3 linked regions of the Canis lupus familiaris genome follow. The protein of the gene in region 1 binds, or shares a complex with, the protein of each later gene. Links are inferred from orthologs where the notes say so. Each region holds a gene or a part of one and is shown in the gene's direction. Other genes may lie near its edges.

Evidence for each region.
Region 2: the proteins of CSK (region 1) and PAG1 are in contact, whole or in part, in an NMR structure (PDB 2RSY), measured with the Rattus norvegicus proteins. The link is inferred for Canis lupus familiaris from reciprocal best matches to the Homo sapiens genes CSK and PAG1. Residues at the interface, in NP_001025210.1 of Rattus norvegicus: Thr88, Arg89, Glu93, Arg107, Ser109, Thr110, Asn111, Tyr112, Thr117, Cys122, Glu123, Lys125, Val126, Glu127, His128, Tyr129, Arg130, Ile140, Asp141, Tyr156, Asp161, Gly162; in NP_071589.1 of Rattus norvegicus: Phe291, Ser292, Leu294, Tyr296, Lys297, Ser298, Arg299, Glu300, Glu301, Leu305, Ile310, Met313, Tyr314, Ser315, Ser316, Val317, Asn318, Lys319.
Region 3: the proteins of CSK (region 1) and PTPN22 are in contact, whole or in part, in an NMR structure (PDB 1JEG), measured with the Mus musculus proteins. The link is inferred for Canis lupus familiaris from reciprocal best matches to the Homo sapiens genes CSK and PTPN22. Residues at the interface, in NP_001291690.1 of Mus musculus: Phe20, Thr23, Gln26, Ala40, Val41, Thr42, Lys43, Asp44, Asn46, Trp47, Ile59, Pro61, Asn63, Tyr64; in NP_033005.1 of Mus musculus: Pro614, Pro615, Leu616, Pro617, Glu618, Arg619, Thr620, Glu622, Ser623, Phe624, Ile625, Val626, Val627.

What each region holds. Positions count from the first base shown.
Region 1 is NC_049251.1:38,289,626-38,293,918, forward strand, and holds the start of CSK (tyrosine-protein kinase CSK), read left to right. Parts: upstream 1-1,493; 5' UTR 1,494-1,571; intron 1,572-2,216; exon of another isoform or gene 2,217-2,509; intron 2,510-4,293. UniProt on the Homo sapiens protein: Non-receptor tyrosine-protein kinase that plays an important role in the regulation of cell growth, differentiation, migration and immune response.
Region 2 is NC_049250.1:28,910,271-28,914,271, reverse strand, and holds the start of PAG1 (phosphoprotein associated with glycosphingolipid-enriched microdomains 1), read left to right. Parts: upstream 1-1,201; 5' UTR 1,202-1,323; intron 1,324-4,001. UniProt on the Homo sapiens protein: Negatively regulates TCR (T-cell antigen receptor)-mediated signaling in T-cells and FCER1 (high affinity immunoglobulin epsilon receptor)-mediated signaling in mast cells.
Region 3 is NC_049238.1:52,206,518-52,210,664, reverse strand, and holds the start of PTPN22 (tyrosine-protein phosphatase non-receptor type 22), read left to right. Parts: upstream 1-1,347; 5' UTR 1,348-1,489; coding exon 1,490-1,576; intron 1,577-4,147. UniProt on the Homo sapiens protein: Acts as a negative regulator of T-cell receptor (TCR) signaling by direct dephosphorylation of the Src family kinases LCK and FYN, ITAMs of the TCRz/CD3 complex, as well as ZAP70, VAV, VCP and other key signaling molecules.

The sequences.
Region 1 (4,293 bases):
GTCTCCCCTCCGTCACTGACCACCTCCCCAACACACACACACACAACCACACACACTGTCTGCTCCTGTCGCTCAGAGCAGACCACGTTCCTGCTCCTCATTGACTAGGACATGTCACGGCGGTGCTTGACCCAGCGCCGATCACGTGCCAACTACTGCACACTAAGCACTTTACATGACTTAACTCATTTCCTCACCACAAAAACCTTAAGAAATGGGTGCTCTTATTTCCCCCATTTTACCAAATGGGAAAAACCGTAGCACAGAGGGTTTAGGTAACTTTCCCAAGGTCCCACAGCTGCCGACCACAACCTCATTGCCTCCAGGCTGAAAATAAAGTCCAAGGAAGTCCCACAAGGTTCCTTGCTTGGATCTCTTGTCCCCGCAGCTTGCAGAGACCTGTCCTGAAGCCCCACTGCCAGCTGCAGCCCTACTGAGCTCTTTAGGCTTCCCGGAGCCCTCGAGGGTTCCCCCCATGCCCTACCCTTGTCCACGCGGTTCCCCCACCTGGGGTCCCAGTTCTATTAAGTCCTCCCATCCGCCGGCCCCTCTTTTCTGCCTTCCCGGACCTCGTCCCCCGGCTCTCGGTGTCTCTGCCCCGGGCTGCCGGCCCGTCCGTTATCCCGCCGAGGCCCGCGACGGGGAGGAGGGCCGGCCGCTCCCGGAGGCTGCACGGCAGGGCCAGGAGCCGGCGAATGAATGAGTGAGCGAACGGATGCCTGCTCGCGGCTGCCAGCGAGGCCCCGTGTCTGCGGCCGGGTCGGGGGAGGGCGGCCGAGGCCCGGCCTCAGTGGCTCCGGCGCGGGGCCCGAGCCGGGAGCCGGCGGGGTTGCCCCGGGAGGGCGCGGGGCGCGGCGGGGGCAGGGCAGGGCAGGGCAGGGCAGGGCAGGGCAGCGCAGCGCAGGGCGCGGACACACCCCCTGCAGTGCCCCCGGCGCCCGGCAGGGGGCGCCGCCCCGCCCCCGCCCCGCCGCCCCGGGCAGGCCCCTCGCGCAGGCGCGCTGCGGCGGGCGGAGGATCCGGGCCGCGCTTCCTCTCGCCAGGCCTGCGAGCTTCCTCCCGGCGGAGCCCCGGGCGAGCCCAGCGTGTCCGCCGCCGCCCCCCGCCCGCGCCCGCCCGCCCGGGGGCCCGCGGGGAGGGGTCCGAGCGGGGCGCCCCCGCCGTCGGGGCCGCGTCCCGGCCAGCCCGCGGCCGCCAGACCCCGCCCGGCCCTGCAGCGCGGGAGCCCGCCGCCCCGACCCCGGCCCCGGCCCCGGCCCCGGCCCCGGCTCCCCGCCCCGGCCCCGGCTCCCCGCCCCGGCCCGGCCGCCACGTCCCCGCCCCGGCCCGGCCCCGGCCCCGGCCCGGCCCGGCCGCGCTCGGAAGCGGAACTCTGCGGGGCCGCGCGGCTACATTGTTTCCTCCCGCCGCCCCCGCCCCCGCCCCCGCCCCCCCGGCCGCCGCCGCCGCCGCCGCCGCTTTGTACCGCGCCCCCGGGGACCCCGCGCCCTCCGCGCCCCGGCCGCGTGCGCCGCCCCGCAGCCCGCTGATGCTGCCCGCCGCGGGGTGGCCGGACCGCAGCGCCCCGAGAGGTGAGTGCGGGCGGGGTCTGGGGGAGGGGGCGGCCGGGGGCCGGGGCAGGTCGCGCCTCCCGCCCGCCCGGCCCGGGGCGCCGCGCTCGCGTCCCCCCGCCCTGACCCCCGCCTTCCCGGTTTGAATTCTCCCGGGAGCCGCTGTCAGCCCGACGGGGGGGGGGGGGGGCCGGAGGTGCTGCCCGGGAGCCCCACGGACCCCTGCCCTCCTGGCCCCGCCTGGCAGGGCCGGCTGGAGCCCCAGGGAGCCCCAGGGAGCCCCGAGGGGGTCGGCGGGAGCCCCCAGGCCCTGGACCTGCCCGGCCCTCCGCGCGGGCCCGGCCTGCCCCCTTCCGAACCCCCTCCCCGCCGGGGCCGAGGCTCAGGAGGCCCAGGGCCCGAGCACCTCCTTGATCTTGCAGGAGGTTCAGCCTGTCCCCCTCCCAGACGGCCAGGCCTCAGCCGAGAGACCTGTGACCCTTGGGTGGAGACACTGGGCAGATCCTCTGTGTGTGGGGATGTGACACCGGGCCCTGGGACGGTGCCCCCCCTCCCTGCAGCCCGGTCATCTCATTCTCCCAGACGCCTCGAGGCCCAGGCCCCGTGTCAGGAAGAGGCGTGTCCGGCCACCAGATCCTTGGTGGTTAACTTAGGGGTTCACCTCCCCTCGGCGTTTTGTGGACCAGGAAACTGAGGCTCAAAGTGGGAAGTTGCCACCCCAGGTCTCCGCCAGGGTCCGGCCGTCCTTCCAGGCTCCGCTCCGCGGAGCAGGACTGCTGTAGATGGAGGGAAGGCAGGCAGGTGCCTTCTCCCACCAAGGACCCAGGCCCCCAGCCTGACCCGGGGGACCTTGTGGGTGAGCACGTGCTTCCCTCCAGAGGGCTTCCGGCCCCAGCGCTGCCCGGCTCTGGGCTCAGGCCGTGTCGCACTGCCCACGGGATTTCCCCTTGGTGCCTGAGGTGGGTGCTGCTGACAGGGGATGTGGCGGGAGGGGGGCACCTTGTCTGGTGTGGCCACGGCACAGAGTGGAAACAGCCTGGCAGTCAGTCCCGACCCAGGCCTCCCACACACTGGGCCCAGCTGCCCCAGGAGCAGCCAAGTCCAGAACACGAATGGGGTCCAGACAGGGAAGGGGAGAGCCCCGCTTCCACAGCCGTGGTGGAGCAGCGTGGCCAGTGGGCACACACAGCGGGCCCGTTCCAAGCTCCCCACGCTTTGGTGGTTCCAGCATCTTTCTTGATGGGGCCCCAGCAGTAACGGGGCAGAGGCAGCACAAGGAAGGCTGGGAGGGTGGCAGGGTCCTCTTGCTCCCTGGAGGGTAGGAGGTTCCCTGGAGGCTGTTGAGCTCTGTCTGGGCCCCCGTGGGGCCGTTGGTAGTTTTGTCCTGCTCCAGACTCTGCCCGTGATGTAGTGTTTTTCCAGTTGCCCCGCCATGCACAGCGAAGGGGACCCAGAAGTGGTGGGCCTGTGAGGCGCCCCACACCCGGCCCTAACTTCCTTTCCGGCCTGAGGGCCTGGGACTGAGGCCTGAAGATCGGGCACTTTTATGCCAACTGTGAGCTATGTGGATGCGGCCCCAGGGTCCCCAGGCCTTGGCAGAAAAGGGTCTGGCGTCCGGCCAGCGCACGTGTGGAGATGTGTTTCTTATCTGGTGAGCTTGTTGCCTTCCCCCCTTGCAGAAGTGGCTGCTCTTCTTTCTGCGTCGGGTCAGGGGCAAGGAAGGACCACATGATAGTCTCCGGGGCTGCTACAGGGGGCACCAGGGCCCAAGAGGTTGAGCCACCGTGAGCAGACCGGGGTACAGGTGGGGCTAAGGCCCAGGGGTCACAGTGCATGATGCAGCCGCCCGAACAAGCTGCCAGCTGGCCTCATGGGGGAGAACGGCCTGGGTCCAGTTCTGGGCTCTATTTTTTGAGGCCTCTTGAAGCCCCGACACAGAGTTCCCAAAGAAAGAGTTTGGTCCAGGAAAGAGAAGGTAGGGAGGGACGGCTGGGTGGCTTAGTGGCTGGACGTCTACCTTCGGCTCAGGTGTGATCCCAGAGTCCCGGGATCGAGTCCCTCCCTGCAGGGAGCCTGCTTCTCTCTCTGCCTGTGTCTCTGCCTCTCTCTCTGTGTCTCTCATGAATAAATAAATATCTTTAAAAAAATAGAGAATGTAAGGAGGGCCCTGCAGGTGCCCAAGGGGCTGTTCCAAATCAGAAAGGCCGTCCCTCCGTGGAAGACGTCCCGGACGTCAGGGCCAGATCTGGGGGGGGCAGTCAGGTCCCAGGGGAAGCAAGTCTGAGCTCAGGAGAAAACTATGTGATGCTTTCTTTTTTTCCTTTTTTTTTTTTTTAAAGATTTTATTTATTAATGAGAGACACAGAGAGAGAGGCAGAGGGTGAAGCAGGCTCCATGCAGGGAGCCTGATGCGGGACTCGATCCCGGGTCTCCAGGATGGCACCCTGGGCCTAAGGCAGCACTAAACCGGTAGGGCCACCCGGGCTGCCCTATATGCTTGTTTGTTTGTTTCTTTCTTTCTTTCTTTTTTTTAAATTTTTTTTTAAATTTATTTATGATAGTCACAGAGAGAGAGAGAGAGGCAGAGACACAGGCAGAGGGAGAAGCAGGCTCCATGCACCGGGAGCCCGATGTGGGATTCGATCCCGGGTCTCCAGGATCGCGCCCTGGGCCAAAGGCAGGCGCCAAACCGCTGCGCCACCCAGGGATCCCCCTATCTGCTACTTTCTTAATGCAGAGAGTA
Region 2 (4,001 bases), on another chromosome or scaffold:
CTAGAGCACAGCACTGGCATCAACTGGGATCGTGTTAGGAATGAAGGATCTTCCCTTAACGCCTAGGCCTAGTGAGTCAGAAATCTGCATTCTTTCAAAATGCTCAGAAGATTCTGACAAACGCTACAGCTTTGAAAAACCTCTGCTGTTTGTACCCCGGTATCATCTGGAAAGCTTTACAACCTTACTGATACCCGAGCCTCACCCAGGGATTCTCCGGTACTTAAGTCTGGACTCCAGGGGTGCGGTCAGGGCAAAGGGCTCCCACCAGCTTCCCAAGTCATTCTGTAATGTACAGCCAGGTGGGGAGGACCCCTGTCCCCTCAGTGGCAGGCCCTCACGATTAAGCTATACCTGAGCTAACGTGGCTCTTCGGGGCTTGCCCAGCGCCCTGGGGACCCCTGAGAGCACACGGGGCGGGGTGGGGGGTCAAGGACAATGGACTCTGCAGACAAGTTCAACCTCGCGGCTCCAGGGCTCGCAGAACCCCGAGGCGGAGACTTCCTGCGCCTCCCCGCTAGGGAGCGGAGCGGGGCGCGGCGCCAGGCCCCCCCCCGCCCCCGCCCCGGCCCCGCCCAGCGCGCCCCCTCCCCGCCCTCCCCTCCCTCCCTCCCGCCCTCCCCTCCCTCCCCTCCCTCCCCGCCCTCCCCCTCCCCCGTGACGTGCCGCAGCCGGCCGGGATCATGCGCACTGGCGCCCCGCGCCCCGCACGGCTGCTCCGCCTCGGCGCCTGTCATTCTCCGCGGCGCGGCGGCGAGTGCGGACTGCGGTGCTGCGCGCGCGATGTGACCGGCCGCCCGGGAGCCCCCCGGAGGCTCTGCGGGGCACGGCGCCTCGGCTCTCCCGGTGCCGCGGTCCTCGCCGAGCGGCCGTTCGCTCGGAGCCGGAGACACGCGCCGGGGGCTCGGAGCGCCGCGCTCCGGGGTCGGCGGCGCCTGCAGCTCTGCAGCTCCGGGTCCGCGCGGCCGGTGCCGCCGCAGCCGCCGCGCCCTGGCCAGTGCCCCCGGCCCCGGGCGCGGCGGAGCGAGGCGGCTGGTGCAGAGCGGCGGCGCCTAGCCGTGCAGCCGAGCAGCCGAGCAGCCAAGCAGCCGTGCAGCCGAGCAGCCGTGCAGCCGAGCAGCCGAGCAGCCGTGCAGCCGAGCAGCCGTGCAGCCGAGCAGCCGAGCAGCCGTGCAGCCGTGCAGCCGTGCAGCCGAGCAGCCGTGCAGCCGAGCAGCCGAGCAGCCGTGCAGCCGCCCGGGCGGTGCGGGGCCAGCGGGGTTGCGCGCAGCCGAGCGCGGTCCCCCCGCCCCACCCCGGAGGGCTCCCGGTCTCCGCGTCCCGGTAAGTTGACTGTAGTTTCTGAAGTTGCAGGGAGCCGTGCGGAGGGGAGGTGCGTTGGCATGATCGTTTTTGCATGAAGCTGGGGGTGGCCCCCGTGTGTTAGGGGCCGCGCTCGGGCTCGGGGAGGTCGGGGTGCGGAGAAGCGGACCCGGCGCGCGGGGAGAGGACGAGTGTGCGGGTTGGAAACGTGCTGCGGGAGGACAGGTGCTCCCAGGGCGCTTCGCCTGCCGCTGACTGCACGTTCCGAGCTCCTGGACCGCGTTTGGCGGTGGAGGGAGCGTGCGGGGTCGCGTTACCTCTCTCCTGAGCCCTCGGGGGAGTGACCCCTGGACGCGATGGGTCTTTGGGGACGGCAGCCAGCCAGTCCTTGGGGCTTCGCGCGCATCCCACTCCGCTCTTCCCGTAGGCAGAAGTTGCCAGCGTCTCCCTCATTGGAGCCCAGGCGTTTAGGGAGAAAACAAGTTGTTAAGTCAACACGGCGTTTTGTGCCATCAGGCAAATAAAATGAGAAATCCGTCCATCGTCTGTGATTTCGTACATTTCAAGAATGTGGGCAAGTCTCAAAGAAATAGGATTTGGATGATGACACTTGGGTTTCACCCTGCCGGCCCTGCGCCTCTTATATAAGCCTCCCGGCGGGATAACCGTCTCTGCAGTGGCTGCAGCTGTGGCTCTCCCTTCCATTTGTTTAAGGTCCAGCTTGAACAGTATTTAATGAAAATGCTGACATGATATAGCGTTCTTGTAGTCTGAAACAGAGGGCACTCTTCAAATTGGAGTGTCTTCTCCTAGTAGGTAGCATGCGAGGAAGAACCCAGTATATTTTTCAAGGCAGCTCCAGGAATTAGACACATAAATCATGTTTTAAAATAGCGTGCATTGTGCAGAGAGCTTGCAGAGGACCCTTTTTGAACACATCCTCTTTGTTTTAGAAAAAGTGGGAATTGTTCATCCCAGACATTTGTTGAGTCTGAAAGTTAAGTGTACTACTGGTGGGCTTAATTATCTTAATAAAAAAAGAGTATGATTTATGGGTAGCTGTCCTGTCCTGCTTTGAAGGATAGAATTCTAGAACCTTTCTTTTTCATCTGTCCCCTAGAGATTCCCATTAAGTAGAGCAATACATTATCATCATTGATGTTTATTTAATATTTGAGTCAATTAAATTCGTAAAAAGAACACTTTGAAATAAATATGGTATTGCTATGACTTAAGACTGAAGATTCGAAATGAGAATTTTCAGGTTATTTGCTATCAGAGTCATTAGTTTAATGAAACAGCATTAAGCTGTTAATGTTTAACAGCATTAAACACACATCCTATATGTGTGTGAAGGTATATATACATATATATTTGTTTAAATTTGGATTTATAATAAATGTTTAAACCAAACTCAGGGATGTGTCTTAATGTAAGATTTATCTAGGCAATCTTGAGAAAGAGAAGTGCTTTTATTTATGGCATTCCAACACATAGAACAAGATGAGCTAGTTATAGGCCCTGCATTTAAAAACAAATCATAGGTTTTTGAAGAATTCTAGAAAAATATTAAAATGTTATTCCAGAGGCTGAAAAGTTAGTCAACACATTGTGGTTTGTGAGAGCGTCCATTGCTTATGTCTAGAAGAGAATAGATCCAAGCATGGAATGTCGAACAGACTCACCCCCATCAGCACTGTTGCCTTATGGTTAGGAGGGTAGACAGACAGCTCAGCGCCTGACTTGCTTACCATCTGTTTTTAATCTGGGCAAATTAGCTAAACTCCTGCCTCAGTGTCTTCATCTATAAAATGGGGGATGACAGTAGTACGTACCTCACGGGATTATGATGAGGATTAAGTGAGTTCATAGCTGTAAAGCTGTTGAGCCAGTGTCTGGCACGTTAGACTGATAAAATCATCATTACTATGAAAGGGAAATGCATCTTTGGATAACAGGGACATTGGACGGCTGCTTGCTGATGGAGGTTAATGGAAGCAGGTCACATGTATAACAGAAGAGAGAATATGAACATTTATTAAACACTTTCTAGTGATGCACACCAGCTGCTATTTAATTTACTGTCTCCCTCAATTCTTCACTGGGGTGGGTGGTTTCCTCTCCACTTGGGTGATGAGGAACTGAAGCTCAGTGAGATCAGATCGAGTTGGGATTTTAACTGGTTTCTTTCAAATCCTCTCCCTTTTGACCTTGCTGCTTCAACTTGCAAAGTACTTTTTCCATCTATTCTCCTTTAATCCTCATAGTAATAAGATATGTGTATTATTATCTTCAGTTTACAGATAAGGAAATTCAAGTTAAGCATTAAAGTATGCAAAGTGCTTACCAGGACTCACAACATAGTTCTCCAAGACTGGGAGTTATTATTATTACCATAATTATTATTAAATAACTTGCTTGGCCTAGCACAAGGTAGATGTGCAAGGGGGTGAAGTACATTTTCTCCTTTACTTTCAAGTGGATGCCATTGCTTTTTACTTCCCTGTTCATATATTCAGAGAATCAAGGGGGTAAAAGTGATATGTGACAGTTCACATTGGAGGACGGTGCTCTCTGGTTTGTTTCCTGCCTGCAGATGTGGCTGCAGTGACCCACATGGCCTAGAAAACCAGCACAGGCAGCTGTCATCTCCATCCACAAAGAGCATCATACCTGAGCATGAATTCAGTCCCAGCTGG
Region 3 (4,147 bases), on another chromosome or scaffold:
TTAATGCCAGATGGGGCTAACTGGGGAAATACTATCCTATTCTCAACAAATATTATTGAAGAATTATGCTTAATTTTAATTTATTATGTGGCTCTGGATTGAAATTCTTTATTGGCCTCACCTGCCTATAGCAGGATCCCTCAAAGACTGTTCCTTTCCTGTTGTGAGGAAAATAAAGTGGATGCAGCTTCATAGTGTTTGGAATCATAATTTCCTAAAGGAAGTTTGAATAATGCAAAACAGAAAGGATTGCTAATATCTTAAATAGAGGAAGCTCTAATGGCACATTTCCCGGTTTCCTTTGGTATTATTTCAGGCTAATTTTGCTAACATTTATGGAACTCCTGTCCTCAAGCAGAGATGATATGCTGATTTTGGCTTGCACTTACTCTGTATGAGACAGTCTTAGGTAGGTTTGTACTCGCTGAGGAGAGGATTTATTCAAGCTGAGATATGGAAGCTTTTTTCTAGAACAGCCTGCCTGTCAAACAAGCCAAAATGCCATGTGTACAGTGTGGCCTCCTGAAGCAATGGCCTTTTCCAAAGCACTCTTTGGGAAAGTAGAGATGTCTTCTCTAGACCTGGAAAGCTACTGTTGCCAGCAAGGTAGTCGATTTTACTCTTTCTTCTGTTCCTTATAGTTAACTAGTATTGGATACAGAGGATATTGGGCCAACTTCCTCATCAGGTGCTCTTCGTGGGGCGGGGTCACACTATTCTCCTGGCTCCTGTACAGTCCTGAGATCAACAACACTTCCCTTAAGCAGGTCGGCACTTCCCCAGCCCTGGGGAGAGATACAGACTGTCAGAAGCAGCTGACTTTGCTTCATCCAAAAGAGAATTTGAGGTCTGTCTGGCAGGCTTAAAACTTCTGAATAAAAATGCCTTGTCTGATGAACAGAAATTTGCCACTGATCACGTGGACAAAGAACTTTGGGGAGAACGGTACAGGTGGAAGATGTCTTAACTCCATACAGTGCCTATCTCCCTTTCTGACACTAATTTTTCTGAGTTCATCTGGGACCTGAAGAAACAGAAAGTATTAGCAGGACCTCTGTGTTCGTGGAGGAACTGGGGAGAAGCAGACCCCAGCCATGAGAACTGGCCTTCTGCCTTTTCTCTAGGAAACAAGAAAAAAAAAGGTGAATCTTGCTTAAAGATGATGAAGTGGAAGAGTCTCAGAGCTAAGCAGACCATGTGTTATGTTCTGGTTAGCCTCTTGTTTGTTAAAACTTGAACTGTAAACCAGGTTCCTTCCTTGAGAAGGGAGGCACTAGGGCCCTGGAGTGATGGTGGCTTTGTTGTGTGACCACAGAGGCTGGTTGCGTACTAATTTCCTCTAGGGCTTGTGACGAAGTCAGTTAACCACAGCCTTCAACATGCTCTGCTCTGGCAGCAGCAGTGGCTTCTTGGTGGTATCTCGGCCATGACATACATTTGACATGCCCTCCCTTAACCCGCTGGTAGACAGCTTCTCTTGGCCTGCAGCATGGACCAAAGGGAAATTCTGCACAAGTTCCTGGATGAGGCCCAAAACAAGAAATCTAGCAAAGAGGAGTTTGCTGATGAATTTCTGGTGAGTCCTATGTGTGACACTCTCAAGGTAGTTACACAGACTGCTTAATTGATGAGGATGGTCCAACTGTCCTAGACCAAATTGCTCTTGGGATAAAAAGTGAATGTCAGACCTTGCAGGGGAAGAAGGGAGAGAGGCAAAACCAGAAGCTCGACTTTTCTCAGTGGCTTGTGTGTTTTTCTCTTGAAAAAACTATTTCAAATGTTGGTTGCTAGTTCTCAGGAGTTTGGCCAGGATTCCTGTGGAAGGCTTACACAATTCCAGGTGTATAAGTACTCATATTAATTGACCATCTGGAGTTCCCAGGTACCTGAATTGAGTTGTGGTTGATGCTTCAAATGACTACTTTTATTTTATTTTATTTTTAAAGATTTTATTTATTTATCCATGAGAGACAGAGAGAGAGAGGCAGAGACACAGGCAGAGGGAGAAGCAGGCTCCATGCAGGGAGCCTAATGCGGGACTCAGTCCCAGGTCTCCAGGATCACACCCTGGCCTGAAGGCAGGCACTAAACTGCTAAACCACCCAGGCTGCTCTCAAATGACTACTTTTAATTAATATTAAGAGGAAAGAAACCAAGATTAACTTTTCATGGAACATGATGTTTTAGCCTCCCCATGGAATCCCATTTGGATGACAAAGGTTCTTGAGGAGCACTGAAACTACCTCCTGTCATATTTCTTTATTTCTTCTTTTATTTTTCTTCTGAGAAGAAAAATGAGCACATGTGTTTTTGTACTAACAGGGTTTCCTTAAGCTTCTTTTGCTTGGAGGGGTGGAATAACAGGGATGGGGGAGTAGACACAAGTGAGGGGTATGGAGACAAATATAAGTGCCAGGTAGCCTAGGGCCAACTAGATCTGACCATCCAGGAAAACACTGCTTCTCTTCTGAGGAGACTGTGGTGACTGATGTGTCAGCAGCTGGGTAGGCCTCATTTGTCCTATAACCTAGCATATCAGAGGACATAGGCTATCTGATAGTGCCTACTATGTATTTTGGAATACCTCCAGCTGGTGTTTCGGGGCTATAAGAACTCGAAGCCTTCGGTCTTCAGCTGTGAATAAGTAGGAAAAACAAGAGAGTTGAAGCAGAAAATCTGAAATCAAATCATGATTCTCTTTCTTTGACATGTTCCTTAATTTCCCCATGTCTTTGTTTTCTAACTTCCAAAATGAGGATGATAATCCATGTCCTACCTGTCTTCACAGGTTGTTGTGATGATTAAATATCAATAATAATTAAAAGTGTTCATTCATTCAGTAATATTTATTGAGCATCTACTGTATACCAAGTTTGGTTCTAGGCACTGAAGATACAGCCATGAACAAGACCAAACTTCTGTGCTCATGGACCTAATATTCTGGCACCCGATAGTAGATATGAAAGCACTCAGTAAAGTCTTGAGTGATTAGATATTATGACTGAGTGATTATATGTTGTGAGAGAAGCCCCTATGTCAACTCAACTTGGGTAATATTGGGGCATCGTGAAAAATGTACTCTCATCGCCACTGGCCAGGCAGTGAGTCCCTCTGAGTAGACCTACCAGGGAGGGAAGCAAGGAGAAGTCCTGACCTACGTGTCTGTTTAGATATGTGCCTCCCCCTGGGCTATACTCCAGAGCCAAATTCACCCAACACATAGAGGTAAAAAGTGACCTGAGGAGGTAGGGCCAGCCTCTGTCTTATTCCAGTTGTGTTTTTAAAAATAATATAGACTACATCCCCAATATTGTACCTTTTCTTACCTCAGTCATTATAAACTCCCACCAAATTATGGAAGTCACCTAACCTCCTGTTTTCTCTGCCTCTAGACTTGTCCCACCTTCAATCAATTTTCCATTCAGTACCCAACTGATCTAATAACCACAGACCTGGCCATTTCCCCCTGCTTAAAAACATTGTATAGTTCTTTTTTTCAGCTGTTTAAAACTGTGAAATATAATACATAGTTATAAAGCTACATACAACATGTGTAAGTATAATTATAAAGCCACCACCATCAAGGTCACGGACCAGAACATTCTTGGACTTAGGAAGACCTCTGTATATCACTTCTCTGGCCGACCTTGCACCCCACTCCCATCCCCCACCCCCATCATGTCCTGATCTGCTCTGCCCAAGGAATAATCACTATCCTGACTTTTGTATTAATCACTTCCTTGCTTTCCTAGCTCTTGGTTTCAAGGACCTTGTTTTTGGATGGTGATTAAGTGGAACCTCACTGTTCATTGACTCACGTCCTCCAGTGGAAAAACAGAGTCTTGCCCTCAGTCCCACCTAACGGTTCAGCTGAGATATCGGAGACATTCATTTTGGGGGAGTTGGGTAGTGGTGAACAGGGCTAGATTGCTTGCCGGGACAAGATCAATACTGCTGTTAACTTGAAGGGCTTTCCATCTGGTCCTGTTCCCTACCCCTCCTTAAGCCCTTTCATCTATTCTCCCAAGATTTGATTTTTGAGGTTGGAGGACTGATTCTGTGACACAAGGCCACTGTTAGCCTAAATGGTAGAGACTTTGTGGGAATTCTAGAAAATCACCTCTGGTTCCAGGTAGACCATCTGTGT